Nothobranchius furzeri: one gene and its partner. The protein of the gene in region 1 binds, or shares a complex with, the protein of each later gene. Links are inferred from orthologs where the notes say so. Each region holds a gene or a part of one and is shown on either strand. Other genes may lie near its edges.

Region 1 (6,491 bases):
GGGTTCAGGACAGGAGAGTTGGCAGGCCAATTGAGCACAGTAATACTATGGTCAGTAAACCATTTAGCAGTGGTTTTGGCACTGTGAGCCAGGTCGTGCTGAAAAATGAAATCTTCATCTCCATAAAACTTTTCAGCAGATGGAAGCATGAAGTGCTCCAAAATCTCCTGATAGCTAGCTGCATTGACACTGCCCTTAGTAAAACACAGTGGACCAACACCAGCAGCTGACATGACACCCCAGACCATCACTGACTGTGGGTACTTGACACTGGACTTCAGGCATGTTGGCATTTCCCTCTGCCCAGTCTTCCTCCAGACTCTGGCACCTTGATTTCTGAATGACATGCAAAATTTGCTTTCATCCGAAAAAAGTACTTTGGACCACTGAGCAACAGTCCAGTGCTGCTTCTCTGTAGCCAAGGTCAGGTGCTTCTGCCGCTGTTTCTGGTTCAAAAGCGGCTTGACCTGGGGAATGCGGCACCTGTAGCCCATTTCCTGCACACGCCTGTACACGGAGGCTCTGGATGGTTCTACTCCAGACTCAGTCCACTGCTTCCGCAGGTCCCCCAAGGTCTGGAATCGGCCCTTCTCCACAATCTCCCTCAGGGTCCGGTCACCTCTTTTCGTTTTCTGCCACACTTTTTCCTTCCCACAGACTTCCCACTGAGGTGCCTTGATACAGCACTCTGGGAACAGCCTATTCGTTCAGAAATGTCTTTCTGTGTCTTACCCTCTTGCTTGAGGGTGTCAATGATGGCCTTCTGGACAGCAGTCAGGTCGGCAGTCTTACTCATGATTGCGGGCTGGGTGTTTTTAAAAGCCTCAGGAATCTTTTGCAGGTGTTTAGAGTTAATTAGTTGATTCAGATGATTAGGTTAATAGCTTGTTTAGAGAACATTTTCATGATATGCTAATTTTTTGAGATAGGAATTTTAGGTTTTCATGAGCTGTATGCCAAAATAATCAATATTAGAAACAATAAAAGGCTTGAACTACTTCAGCTGTGTGTAATGAATCTAATATATATGTAAGTCTAATGTTTATCAGTACATTACAGACAATAATGAACTTTATCACAATATGCTAATTTTTTGTGAAAGACCTGTATATATAGAAATTAATCAAATCTTCAAATTTAATCCCAAAAAGTGGGAGATTTCAGACATTTCCAATATAAAAGATCAAAAGAATTTTATCATCTAAAAATAGCCCCTTTCACAACCAACTGAATGCAGAACTGCCAACCTTGTCAAAATTTTTTGAGTACCACCTGTGCGGCATTTTTTTCGCGCACTTTTGCAACTCCATTGCTTTTCACGCTGTAATCTCCCCATTCACCGGATGGAAAATTTTTCACACACACACACACACTCACACTTTACCTTACGAGAACAGCAGCGAGTGGCGAACCGGAGGGAGAGAGGAGCAGGACGAAGCAGAGAGGAGGGTGCGGGGGTGTTACGCTAGGTTAGGCAGGACAGTTTTTCTCTGCTTTTCTACGATGATTGGTTTAAACTTCTTCACCGCGCCGCTGAGCCGTGTTTTTCAGACATGAGTACCACACATGCATATTTGCCACAGAACTCAACTCACGTGCTTTTTGCGTAGTTTAGAGGGGTGAGTCGTACCATGCGTAAAGGTTGGCCGAACGTGTAACGTTCCGCTTACGCCAACATCATACACAAAAGTGCTGAACACTAACTAGAAATTCACGAAAATTTTATAGAAATAAAAGAATCTTGTTTATTGGGTCTTTGGTAATTTAAGACCTTTGGAAACTGTATTTAAGGATTATTTGTCATTTTTAAGGATTTTTAATGCCTTAAATTTGGAAAAGCAAAATTAAAACTTTTTAAGGACCAGTGGATACCCTGAGCTCTATGTTTGTTAGCCATGACGATAGATTTAGCTCTGTTTATTGACAGCAAGTAGATAAACAACTGCGGTCAACGGGGACGTGCAGGCATCTTGCCCTCCAGCCAGGGGCGGGTGTGTGGGCATGTGATGTCATGCTGCAATGGGTCTATGGGCCTTAATATGTTGTCCTAAAAGTGAATGCCATCTTGCTCCTCTTACCACAATGGAGGTGAGATCCTCACTCTCAAAGCGACTGATGGCGTGGTCCAGAGACTTGTACATCGCTGCAGAGATCCTCTGAGTGATCAGACGGTTCAGGTCAATCGATCGACCCAGTAGCTGAAAAATCACCAAGATCAAACTGAAACTAAACACATTCACTGAAATTAAAATGTCCTAAAATCATGTCCCATCAGATGAGCAGCAGAGAGTTGTCATGTACCTGTACGTGTCTCTGTTTGAGCAGCGTCTCATAACGGTTCGACGGAGGATACGGGATGATGACGCCGTAGTTTTTACACTCTGCTCTGAAGCGCTTGTCTAGCAGGACGCTGTGAAGCACATTAAAATTGGATTCAGGAGAAAATGTTCATAAATATGGCTGCAACTCCTGACAGTAACTTCAAAACATATAAGGAGCAAGTGCATTCCTCTACCTTCCAGCCATTGCTTTGTAGTAGGCAAAAATCTGATCTGCCAACTTGTAAACAAACTGATCAAAGCAGAGGTTTACCTACAAACAGGAAAAACAGGATCAATTTTTGACTTCTGAACCAGTTTGAGAATCACAGAGGCATTCAGCCATACCTCGGCTTCAATTTCATCATACAGAAACTGTTTTTTGAACTTGGTGAGGGCGTAATAGCCGCTGTCGTTATACAAGTCTAGAGGGTACAGGACGTATCTGCAAGAACAACAGTAAAAATTAGGATCCTGCTGGTGCTTAAAAAAAAATACTTATCTGATTTAACTTACTCCATCATGGAAGGCTCTTTGGTCTCCAGGATGTGGTCGGTCAAGATCCAGGGCATGGACATCTCAATGGGGAACTGGATTCTGCGACCCATGGTTAGCTCCAGGAAGAACTCTCTAAACCACAGCTGGGACAGGTCACAGCACTGCTGCAGGGCCTCTGATCAGACAACAGACAGGAAGTGACCCACTTAAAAGTCAACAGATCATTAGAGCAGAAGTTTGCTGCCACGGTGATGTATTGCTCCTGACTGAAACTTGGCTAAATAAGTTGAGTACAAAACTAAACCTAGAGTTATGAGTTATACAAAACTTATACTGAAGTTATAAAAACTCACCACTGAAGTTGAGCAAGTGTGTGAAGAAGAAGGATTGCTTATGGAAGTCTTCTATGGCTACCACGATGGGTCCATCAAGGCTGCTGCGGAGAGTCTTCTTAGATCCACTTTTATCTGCGATCAGTGACTCCAGCATGGTGCGTACCATGTACAGCTAGAGGGGACAGGAAACCAACAAATGCATCAAAAAGACCAGATCTCTGTCTAGAAAGACCTTCAGAGTTTCAAGTTTCCTTTGGAGACGCCATAAAGATTGTTGGTCCAACTGCCCCTCTTCCACTAGCACACCGTAAGCTTGGTTCCAAGACTTTCCCACTTTTAACAGGAATTAGTAATTGCTGTTCTGAGATGCCTTCGTTATCCAAAATCCTAAATCCCCCTCAGGACAGAGTCAGAAAAACAATCCTAGAAAGCTCTGTAAGTATCTACGCTACTTCAACTAAATAATTCCTGATGGTGGGACGACGTTGGCTCAGGAGTTAAGTGCTCACCCTGTAATCGGAAGGTTACACAGGTTCGAGCCCCGCACAGCCTGTCGCTGTCTTTGTGTCCTTGGGCAAGACACTAAAGCCACCTCGCTGCTGGTGGTGGTCGGAGGGACCAGTGGGGCCTGTGTGCGGCAGACTCGCCTCTGTCAGTGCGCCCCAGAGCAGCTGTGGCTACAGTGTAGCTCATCCCCACCAGGGTGCAAATGTGTGTGTGAATGGGTGAATGACTGTGTTGTAAAGCGCCTTGGGGGGTTCCAGGACTCTAGAAGGTGCTGTGTCAAATACAGGCCATTTACCCAAAGGGAAAAACATCCATTTAAATCTCGTAAAAGTCCAGTTTTTTGTCTCCCAACACAAAAAGACAGAAACATCCAGAAAGACTTCCTGTCGTTCCTCCTAGGTCTTACCTGTGTGCTGGAGGGTCCCACGGCTCGTCGAGGCACCTTAATGTCAAAGCCGCCCTTCGGGTCCTTCTCCCCCCTCAGGCAGGGGTCATTTGGAGGCTCTCTTCCGCCTTCCCAATCACAGACAGTCTTCCGAATGGCCTGAAGAACACTGTTCAGAAAGGATAATACTTAATCCAGGAAATTCAGATGACAAATGAAGTAATTACACAACTGCTTCTGTTATTCTGCTACAGAAAGGAAACGCAATCGTTCTGATGCTACGAGTACCTAATGAGGACATTCTTCTTCTTGCGTACAGCCTGGCGTAGAGGCTCTCTGAGGGTCACCTGGGCAAAGTCCTGCAGAGCTGCATAGATTGTGTTCCTTATGGCCTGGTTAAACACCGACTCCATCCGACCCATCAGGACCTAAACACACAGAAAGAGCAGCTTTACAAATGCCTTGCTTGAGCTTTTATTAGAATTTCTTTTACATGCCAAGTTTCACGTTTGACCTGCAGCCCTTTGATCATGGCGATGACCTCCACCAGAGCAAACTTCTCCTCGCTGGTGTAGTTGTAGCGCGTGGCGCGCTCATACTCCTCCGCCGTTCCTGGGCAGTCTTTGTTGCAGAATTTATCCGTGGGATGAACCAGCTTCCAAGAGTACTGACAGTTGAAAGTAGATCATAACAAGAGCCATCAGCGGCAAAACCAATTACAATCTCCTCCACTCTGAGTTCCTCTTTCACTCACAACTTCCATGACGTGTGTGCTCCACTTGGACAGCAGCTGCAGACCCCTCAGAGACAGGTCGAACAGCTCCCGGTACTCATCGTCGGACTTCTGGCTGTCCAGGCCCGAGCCTGTCACCACCTCGTTGTTGCTGTAGCGCGCCAGCTCCGAGATGAAGCGGATGTGGTCGTCCCTGATCTGCACCATCTGCTCACACAGGTTGTACTGTGGCGAGATGCTGCTCTGGGTGCACGTCCACCTGTGCAAAGACGAGACAAAGATGGAGCAGACAGCACGGCGAGGAATCTTTTCTATTAGTTTTTCTACGCTTGTTGAGGGGTTTTATTCGAGAGTGGACCATATTGCTTTACCTAGACTTGTTTTCTTCGTAGTGAGCACTTGTTTCAATATAGCGAGATAACTCGATCTGCATGTCTCCAAATAAAGGCACAACCTGCAGCTAAAGAACAAAAACACATCTGGATACCTGCTGTACTCTTTAGTTGGATTAAACGAGTCCAAAACAAAAGTTTACTTTAAAGAATTTGTCAATCTTGCTCAGGTTGATCCGCTTCTTGGCGTCCAGTTTGTAGATATTACTCACATTCCCATCCATCAGGTACAATCCAAAGCCCATAACCTGTCAGACATTTGGAGGAACAGGCAAGAGGGGAATTAAAACAAAGGATCAGCCTGAGATCTGATTATTTTATATGAGCATTTGTACCTTAAGCAGCATGTGTTTCTCACTGGGCGTCAGATACATTTTGTTCTCATAATAGTCTACACAGATGTTGACGATGTCTGCCAAAAGCTCCTCGTAGCCCGGAATCACCTCCAGCTGTTGGTGCAGGCACTACAGGAGGAGAGACGGGACAAGCTGCACTAATTAAGGGTAGATATTAAGGGTCACTGTCTCTAGCTTACTAAGCTAACATTTTGTTTTAAGAACAGGTGTGTGTGTGTGCGCGCACTGATATGGTTTTGTGTCTACCAGTCCCTGTGAACCAGAGGGGCCCAAACCTTTCAAGTAAAGTGTTAATGTTGAGTTAAAATCTGTTGCTGGACTCAAAAATGTGAATATTTTTAATTTGAAGAGTAAAAAAAAAAAAAAAAAATTTTACTGTACGGATGCATGGGTATCCGATATAAATAAGTCATTTATGGTTGATAACTGATATTTGCCGACACACATAAATATTTATAGTGTTGGGAGTTATGGTGTTTAGTATAAAGGCTTTATTTTTTAGGTAACAGATTAAACAAATTAATTACTTTTTCCATTGTCGCAACGCCATTACTGTTATTTGGCATGTGAAAAAAATACATATTATATATATATATATATATATATATATATATATATATATATATATATATATATATATATATACACACACATACACACATATATATATTCGTATATATACACGTATATATATACGTATATATGTACATATATACGTATATATATATATATATACACGTGTATATATATATATATATATATATATATATATATATATATATATATATATACATACATATATATATATATGCATATACATATAAATGCATATGTATATATATATATATGTGTAAGTATGTATGCATGTAAATATATATATATATATAATATATATATATATTATATATATACAATATATATTATATATATTTATATATATATTATATGTATATATATAAAATATATA
Region 2 (5,842 bases), on another chromosome or scaffold:
TTATTTCAACTTTCGGCCATTTCGTTCACTGCTCAAGATCAACGTCACATCTTAAAGCCAGACGTGGTTAAAAAACACACACAATAATGACTGTTAAACGTAAAATGGACACCGCTTCTGCGTTACGCAAATAACGCCGATGAGTCCATGGACAACCTGCAGTTCGCTTCAAGTGTAATTAAACAAAAACTTACCAAATTATGTTCTTCTGTCGCCGGAAAATGCAAAAAAAAGTTTCTTTATTGAACCATTCAGTAAATTGTGGGATGAAATTACATCTGACTTTGGAGAAACGTTCTCAGCTCGACGCCAGAACCTTCTTTATCCCACAATGCATCGGGGGCAGAACAGGGTGGGCATTCATTGGGTTAAAATATTCCCTGAGTTTGCCTTACAGGCAGTCCTGAATTCCAGTCGGTTTGTTTCCAACAATAACAAATTCGATGTTGACTTCGATATGATTTATGCCATGAGTAAAATTAATATTTTAGTACGTTTTTATGCATATCATTAATTAATTATCCTTATGTTAATCTAAACTTGGATAAGAAATTTCAGAAGTATGCCTGAACGGTAAGTTTCAGGGCAAAATTTACCCAGTTATCAAAATCCGCCATTTTGCAATTTTGGGTGATACTTGTCTTTAACTTCTCGACGTTTTCACGATAGTTTATGGTTAACCAAATAAATAGTTCCCAGTCAGTTTACACAGGGTAGACAGCATACTTCGATGAGATACTATAAATACTACTTTATTTACTCTTAAACGCACATAAATGTACAGCTGTCGAGAGAGAGAGAGAGAGAGAGAGAGAGAGAGAGAGAGAGAGAGAGAGAGAGAGAGAGACCTGCCCCAAATGGAGGAGTTTAAGTGTATGGTCTTGTTCACGAGTGAGGGAAAACTGGAGTGTGAGATAGATAGGCAGATTGGTGCTGCATCTGCAGTGATGCGAGTGTTGTACCGGTCTGTCGTGGTGAAGAGAGAGCTGTCAGAAGGCAAAGCTCTCAATTTACCAGATGATCTACGTTCCTACCCTCACCTATGGTCATGAGTTTTGGGTAGTGACGGAAAGAACAAGATCGCGGATACAAGCGGTTGAAATGAGTTTTCTCCGCAAAGTGGCTGGGCTCTCCCTTAGAGATAGGGTGAGAAGCTTGGTCATCCGGGAGGGGCTCTGAGTATACCCGCTGCTCCTCCACATCGAGAGGAGCCAGTTGAGGTGGCTCGGGCATCTGGTCAAGATGCCTCCCTGCTGAGGTTTTCCGGGCACGTCCAACCGGGAGGAGACCTAAAGGTAGACCTAGAACACGTTGGAGGGACTATGTCTCACCTGGCCAGGAAACGCCTTGGGAATTCCCCCGGAGGAGCTGGCCGAATTGGCTGGGGGAGAGGGAAGTCTGGGCCTCTCGCCTTAGGCTACTGCCCCCGCGACCCGACTCCGGATGAAAATGGATAGATATATTCAATTATTTTTCTTAATATTGGTTCACATTAATGTAAGTGGACTTTTTCGATACACATAACCAATGCATCTAACTTATCTATGCAACAAACTATCTTTGATGTTTGTTTACTTGACAGATGTTTTAGTAGCTTTTGTTCACACTTAGCCATTGAATTAAATTTAAACACCAAATGGAGTACTTAAAATAAGATGAAAATCAAGTATTATCATCGTATAGCTTTTATTTCAGTATTTAAAGTCTGAAACCTTACCAAACAGGCAAATAAAGGAGACTAGACAATGTTAAACTTGGCACACATGAATGTTCCCTCTTTATGTCTCTGATTTAGTAATGGCATACTGTATATATACTGCTGACAATAGATTCACAACTTAGTCCCAGAATATCTTTTGAATACTTATGGAGATCAATTTTAAATCTAATGATGGTGTTTGTGCCACTAATACAGAATCTGTTTCATGTTTTTATATATATTTTACAAATGTGCCATGAGATAAAAACACAAAACTCAGTCACATAATATAAAAATGGTCCACATAATCCCCAAAACAGGACAGTGGAGTCCAGCACATTTAGTCCAAAATAATTCAGGGTAAAGGGTGGGGAAGTAGTTAGATATTAAGGATCCTCATGATGGAAGTCTAGGTCAAGGTTTCTCCTTTCGTCACCTGAAAAGAGATATAATTGCTTGATTAAATCACTCAAAACAATGCATCTAACTGTGATTCTTCTACTTACTCTTGCTTCTATATATTCGATCCTTCTTTCCAGTGCTGTCAACTTCTCGTTTAGAGTGGCCAGGCGGGACCGACAAGACATATCTGTTTGGGTTAAAATTTATTTTGAATGTTAGTTTGGTATATCAACGATACAACTGTAGGGAGCACTGATTGAAGATGAACTTCACTGGTAGCTATTGTGTTCCTAAAGATGTGGCAGAGCTTCGACACTTGAATTAATAAATATAATAAACTAAGCAAACGCAATTCTCCTTTGAAATATCATTACCCTTTAAAACAAAGCGATTAGCTCGGTGCTAATGTCCGAGCTAGCTGGGAGTGGCCATTTAAAAACATCAACATCAGTGTTAGCAGCAGCCCGACAGCTAGCTTCTCTAGCTAGCGCGACCTTCCAGCTCAAATATTTCTACAACACAGCGGTCGAATCCTTTGTAGCTTTTCCTAAAAGCTCACCGAACGAGTTGAGAAAGTCTGCGATTTTCTTGATGCTGCTTGTTATGACCTCTATGTACTCTCGATTCGCCCAGTCTTGGTGGATCTCCCTCTGAACGGGGTCTTCCTGGCCAGCCATGTTAGCAGTTTTGTCGTTGCAGAAGCTTTCATCCAGGAAGCGCCATCGGGCGTAAACTGGGCACGAGATTTAGCGAGATTCATAATTATCAATAAAATATTGCTTTTTATTTCGCTCGGTTCAAACACTGTATGTAAAAGTGAAGATTATTTTGTCAATTTTCAAATTTAGAATATAAAGAAAAACCCAGAAAATGAAATTTATACATATATATATATAGTTTTGACAGAAAAAATATTTAAAAAACATCTAAAAACAAAGACAAAAAATCTAGTTGAGAAAGTTAATCTATTAAAGTTATTTAACTATTTTATGCACATGTGCATACGCCACAGACTACACATTGTTGTCTATGATGCAAACACACATAAGGTTTTACGAACGTGTGGCTGAGGTGTCTCATGTGATAAGCCCAGGTTTGTTTTGGGACCAGTGAACCTCAATTGGCTCCTAAAGGTAGCACCTTGTGGCAGCGTTGTATAAATGTGAGAATAAGAAACATTAAAAATACCTTCTGAATCTAACAATCATAGGAGATGTTTTATTCTCCAGAAGTAATTTTCAATAATCTGTAGTTTTTATGGTTTGATGCATCATGTAAAGAAAAACCCTCAATGCAAATGCTTCTATTTAAATGCCAAAAAGTAAAATTGAAATGAGATAAAGATATAGTTGCCTACATTTGTCGGACACCAAAGAAAATCTAGGATTTATATGTGCGTTTTATAAATGTAATTTTAAAAAGTGTTTGATAAAAGATGTTTATTTCATTTTTTCAACTAATATTCCAATTGCAGTACAGTCAGGGGTAAATACAGACATTTACATCTTTATCAGAGTCTCCCTACACAAAAAGGTTTGCAGGAGCCTCATCATTAAGTAAATGGGTTGAAAAACCAAGTATATACCACTGAAAATTTCACAATATTTGGACTGTGGCAATTAATTCAACTGTGAGCAGGAAAGCAAGAAGAAATACCCGAAACGCCTGGGTCTACAGATAAGCATTACAAAGCCAGTGTGGTCACGACAGATATCTTTCACTGCCAGCAATAGTAATGTTGTAGCACATTTTACTTGATCCTCCTTTTCAGTAGCTCCTTAATATCTTCCTCAATATCTATGGTGAGGAAGTTTCTGCTGTAGCGCTTGAAAGGCTCCCCATCAGCTCCGATCAGGAATTTCTCAAAATTCCAGGATATGTCGGTCCTGCACACAGGACTCCAGATGATGAACTTTGGATCGGTCATGAGGGCCGTGGCATTGTCGCTGGGGGTTGGGAGCGTCTCCTTAAGGTACACAAACAAGGGATGAGCAGCTTTTCCATTGACGTCTACCTTCTCCAGGAGCTGGAACTTGGGTTCAAAGCCATTCCCTGGGCGGACATACTTTAGGGATCTCAGGATCTCATCATTTTTGGCATTCTCCTATTGTGCAAATCGAAATATTTAAATACATTAAAGTAGCATGAATTTAAATGTGGAAGCACCTTTGATTCTAAACCACTCTACTAATTCACTTTCCTTAACCCTTCTACAAGTAACAAAAACAAGTACTGTGCATTATTTGTTTCTCCGTATATCTACTGGAACTTACCTGGTGCCCAAACTGATTGCAGGGCACACCCAGGATAACGAGTCCCTCTGCGGAATAGCGAGAATGAAGCTCGTTCATCTGAGTGTAATCCCTGATTGTTGTTCCTCAGAGAGATGCCACGTTCTCAATGAGAACGACTTTCCCTTTAAGTGTGGAGAAATTAAAAGCTTCACCAGTCAGCAGATTAGCTGTAAGGTTGTAAAACTTTTTCAAGTTTTGGGCCATGTTTGCGATATCTTGTAAATCGCACGAAGGTGTGTACGCGCGCTCTTCCTGTTAACAAGTTGGCTTAAAGTCCAACCTTCGCCTAGAAGTGCTCCCACCCACTCAAGACTACGCTACTGGGTCTGCTCTGTTTATACACCGGCACACACAGCGGGGGCACAGCTGATTGGCCTTGGATTGGAGTTTAACCGGACGACGCACCGGTAAAGCTACAAGGAACGAAACATAAAAAAGTCATCGTTTTATGTCATTTCGTCCAAAACATCAAGACTAAAAGAATAATCAATGTGATCCTAGAATTCCAAAATCACTGTTCTTCTGATAGCGAGAAATACACAAGCAGTAAATTGTAATTAATTTTTCCCTAACTTTACCGCCATTTTGGGTTATTCTTAATTTGGCATGCCTCCATCAACCAACAGCCACACACACACACAGACAAAACCTTAAACATTTTAAATAATTATTGGTTTAAACACTACCTAACACAATACATTAATAAACGTATATATTGATAAATGTATTCATACAAATAACCAATTTACCATTTAGTATATATTTATTTCACTATTGCCATTCTGATACTCACCCCTATCTTGGTAAAAGTGGTACATTCCAGGAAGTTCTGTGTGAGCTGGTGTTTTGCCCTTAGAGGAAAACTAACCTAGCCTAGTGTACTAGACCAAATTCTTTCTTTGCAAAGTTTGGTCTAGGCACGCTCCATTGGAACCACCACAATAATAAATTTATTTAGTCTGGCTTGCCAGGCTAAAACTGACCATTTTTAATCACGCGCAGGCTTTGTAAATAAGGAGCAAAACGCATTTTAGACACGTTGCTTCCTGTAGGAAATGACAGTGTTCAAGGGCGTCAGTTTGTTTTCAGAATTGCTGGGGACAATAACCATACACTTGAGTGGGGTTTAAAAATTGCTGGGGACAATAAAGTAGGCTAGCACAGGGGTCGGCAACCCGTGGCTCTGGAGCCGCATGCGGCTCTTCCATCCATCTGATGCGGCTCTCTGTGCTTGTAAAATAATGAGTGGATATTTAAATAAAAAGCTTTATATTTTACTGCATTAATTTTACATCTGTATGTCAATTCTAAATGTTAAGATTGTCTGCGTAAACCTGAACAGTTCCAACCCGGTCTTACTGTGAGACCGGGTTGACGCGTCACGCTTGTGCGTAATCATAGCCGCTTCCTGAGCTGACGAGGATGTGAGATTCTGGGCTTCTCCTCA

Evidence for each region.
Region 2: cyfip2 (region 1) and brk1 share a complex: the UniProt entries of both Homo sapiens proteins name them as parts of the WAVE1 complex. The link is inferred for Nothobranchius furzeri from reciprocal best matches to the Homo sapiens genes CYFIP2 and BRK1.

The regions. Positions count from the first base shown.
Region 1 is NC_091742.1:50,722,047-50,728,537, forward strand, and holds part of cyfip2 (cytoplasmic FMR1-interacting protein 2), read right to left. Parts: intron 5,633-6,491; coding exon 5,504-5,632; intron 5,417-5,503; coding exon 5,312-5,416; intron 5,237-5,311; coding exon 5,148-5,236; intron 5,036-5,147; coding exon 4,798-5,035; intron 4,711-4,797; coding exon 4,558-4,710; intron 4,472-4,557; coding exon 4,332-4,471; intron 4,213-4,331; coding exon 4,065-4,212; intron 3,324-4,064; coding exon 3,170-3,323; intron 2,992-3,169; coding exon 2,835-2,991; intron 2,764-2,834; coding exon 2,667-2,763; intron 2,593-2,666; coding exon 2,516-2,592; intron 2,411-2,515; coding exon 2,302-2,410; intron 2,199-2,301; coding exon 2,079-2,198; intron 1-2,078. UniProt on the Homo sapiens protein: Involved in T-cell adhesion and p53/TP53-dependent induction of apoptosis. Does not bind RNA. As component of the WAVE1 complex, required for BDNF-NTRK2 endocytic trafficking and signaling from early endosomes.
Region 2 is NC_091743.1:65,723,248-65,729,089, forward strand, and holds brk1 (probable protein BRICK1), read right to left. Parts: upstream 2,836-5,842; 5' UTR 2,779-2,835; coding exon 2,661-2,778; intron 2,289-2,660; coding exon 2,206-2,288; intron 2,136-2,205; coding exon 2,109-2,135; 3' UTR 1,670-2,108; downstream 1-1,669. UniProt on the Homo sapiens protein: Involved in regulation of actin and microtubule organization. Part of a WAVE complex that activates the Arp2/3 complex. As component of the WAVE1 complex, required for BDNF-NTRK2 endocytic trafficking and signaling from early endosomes.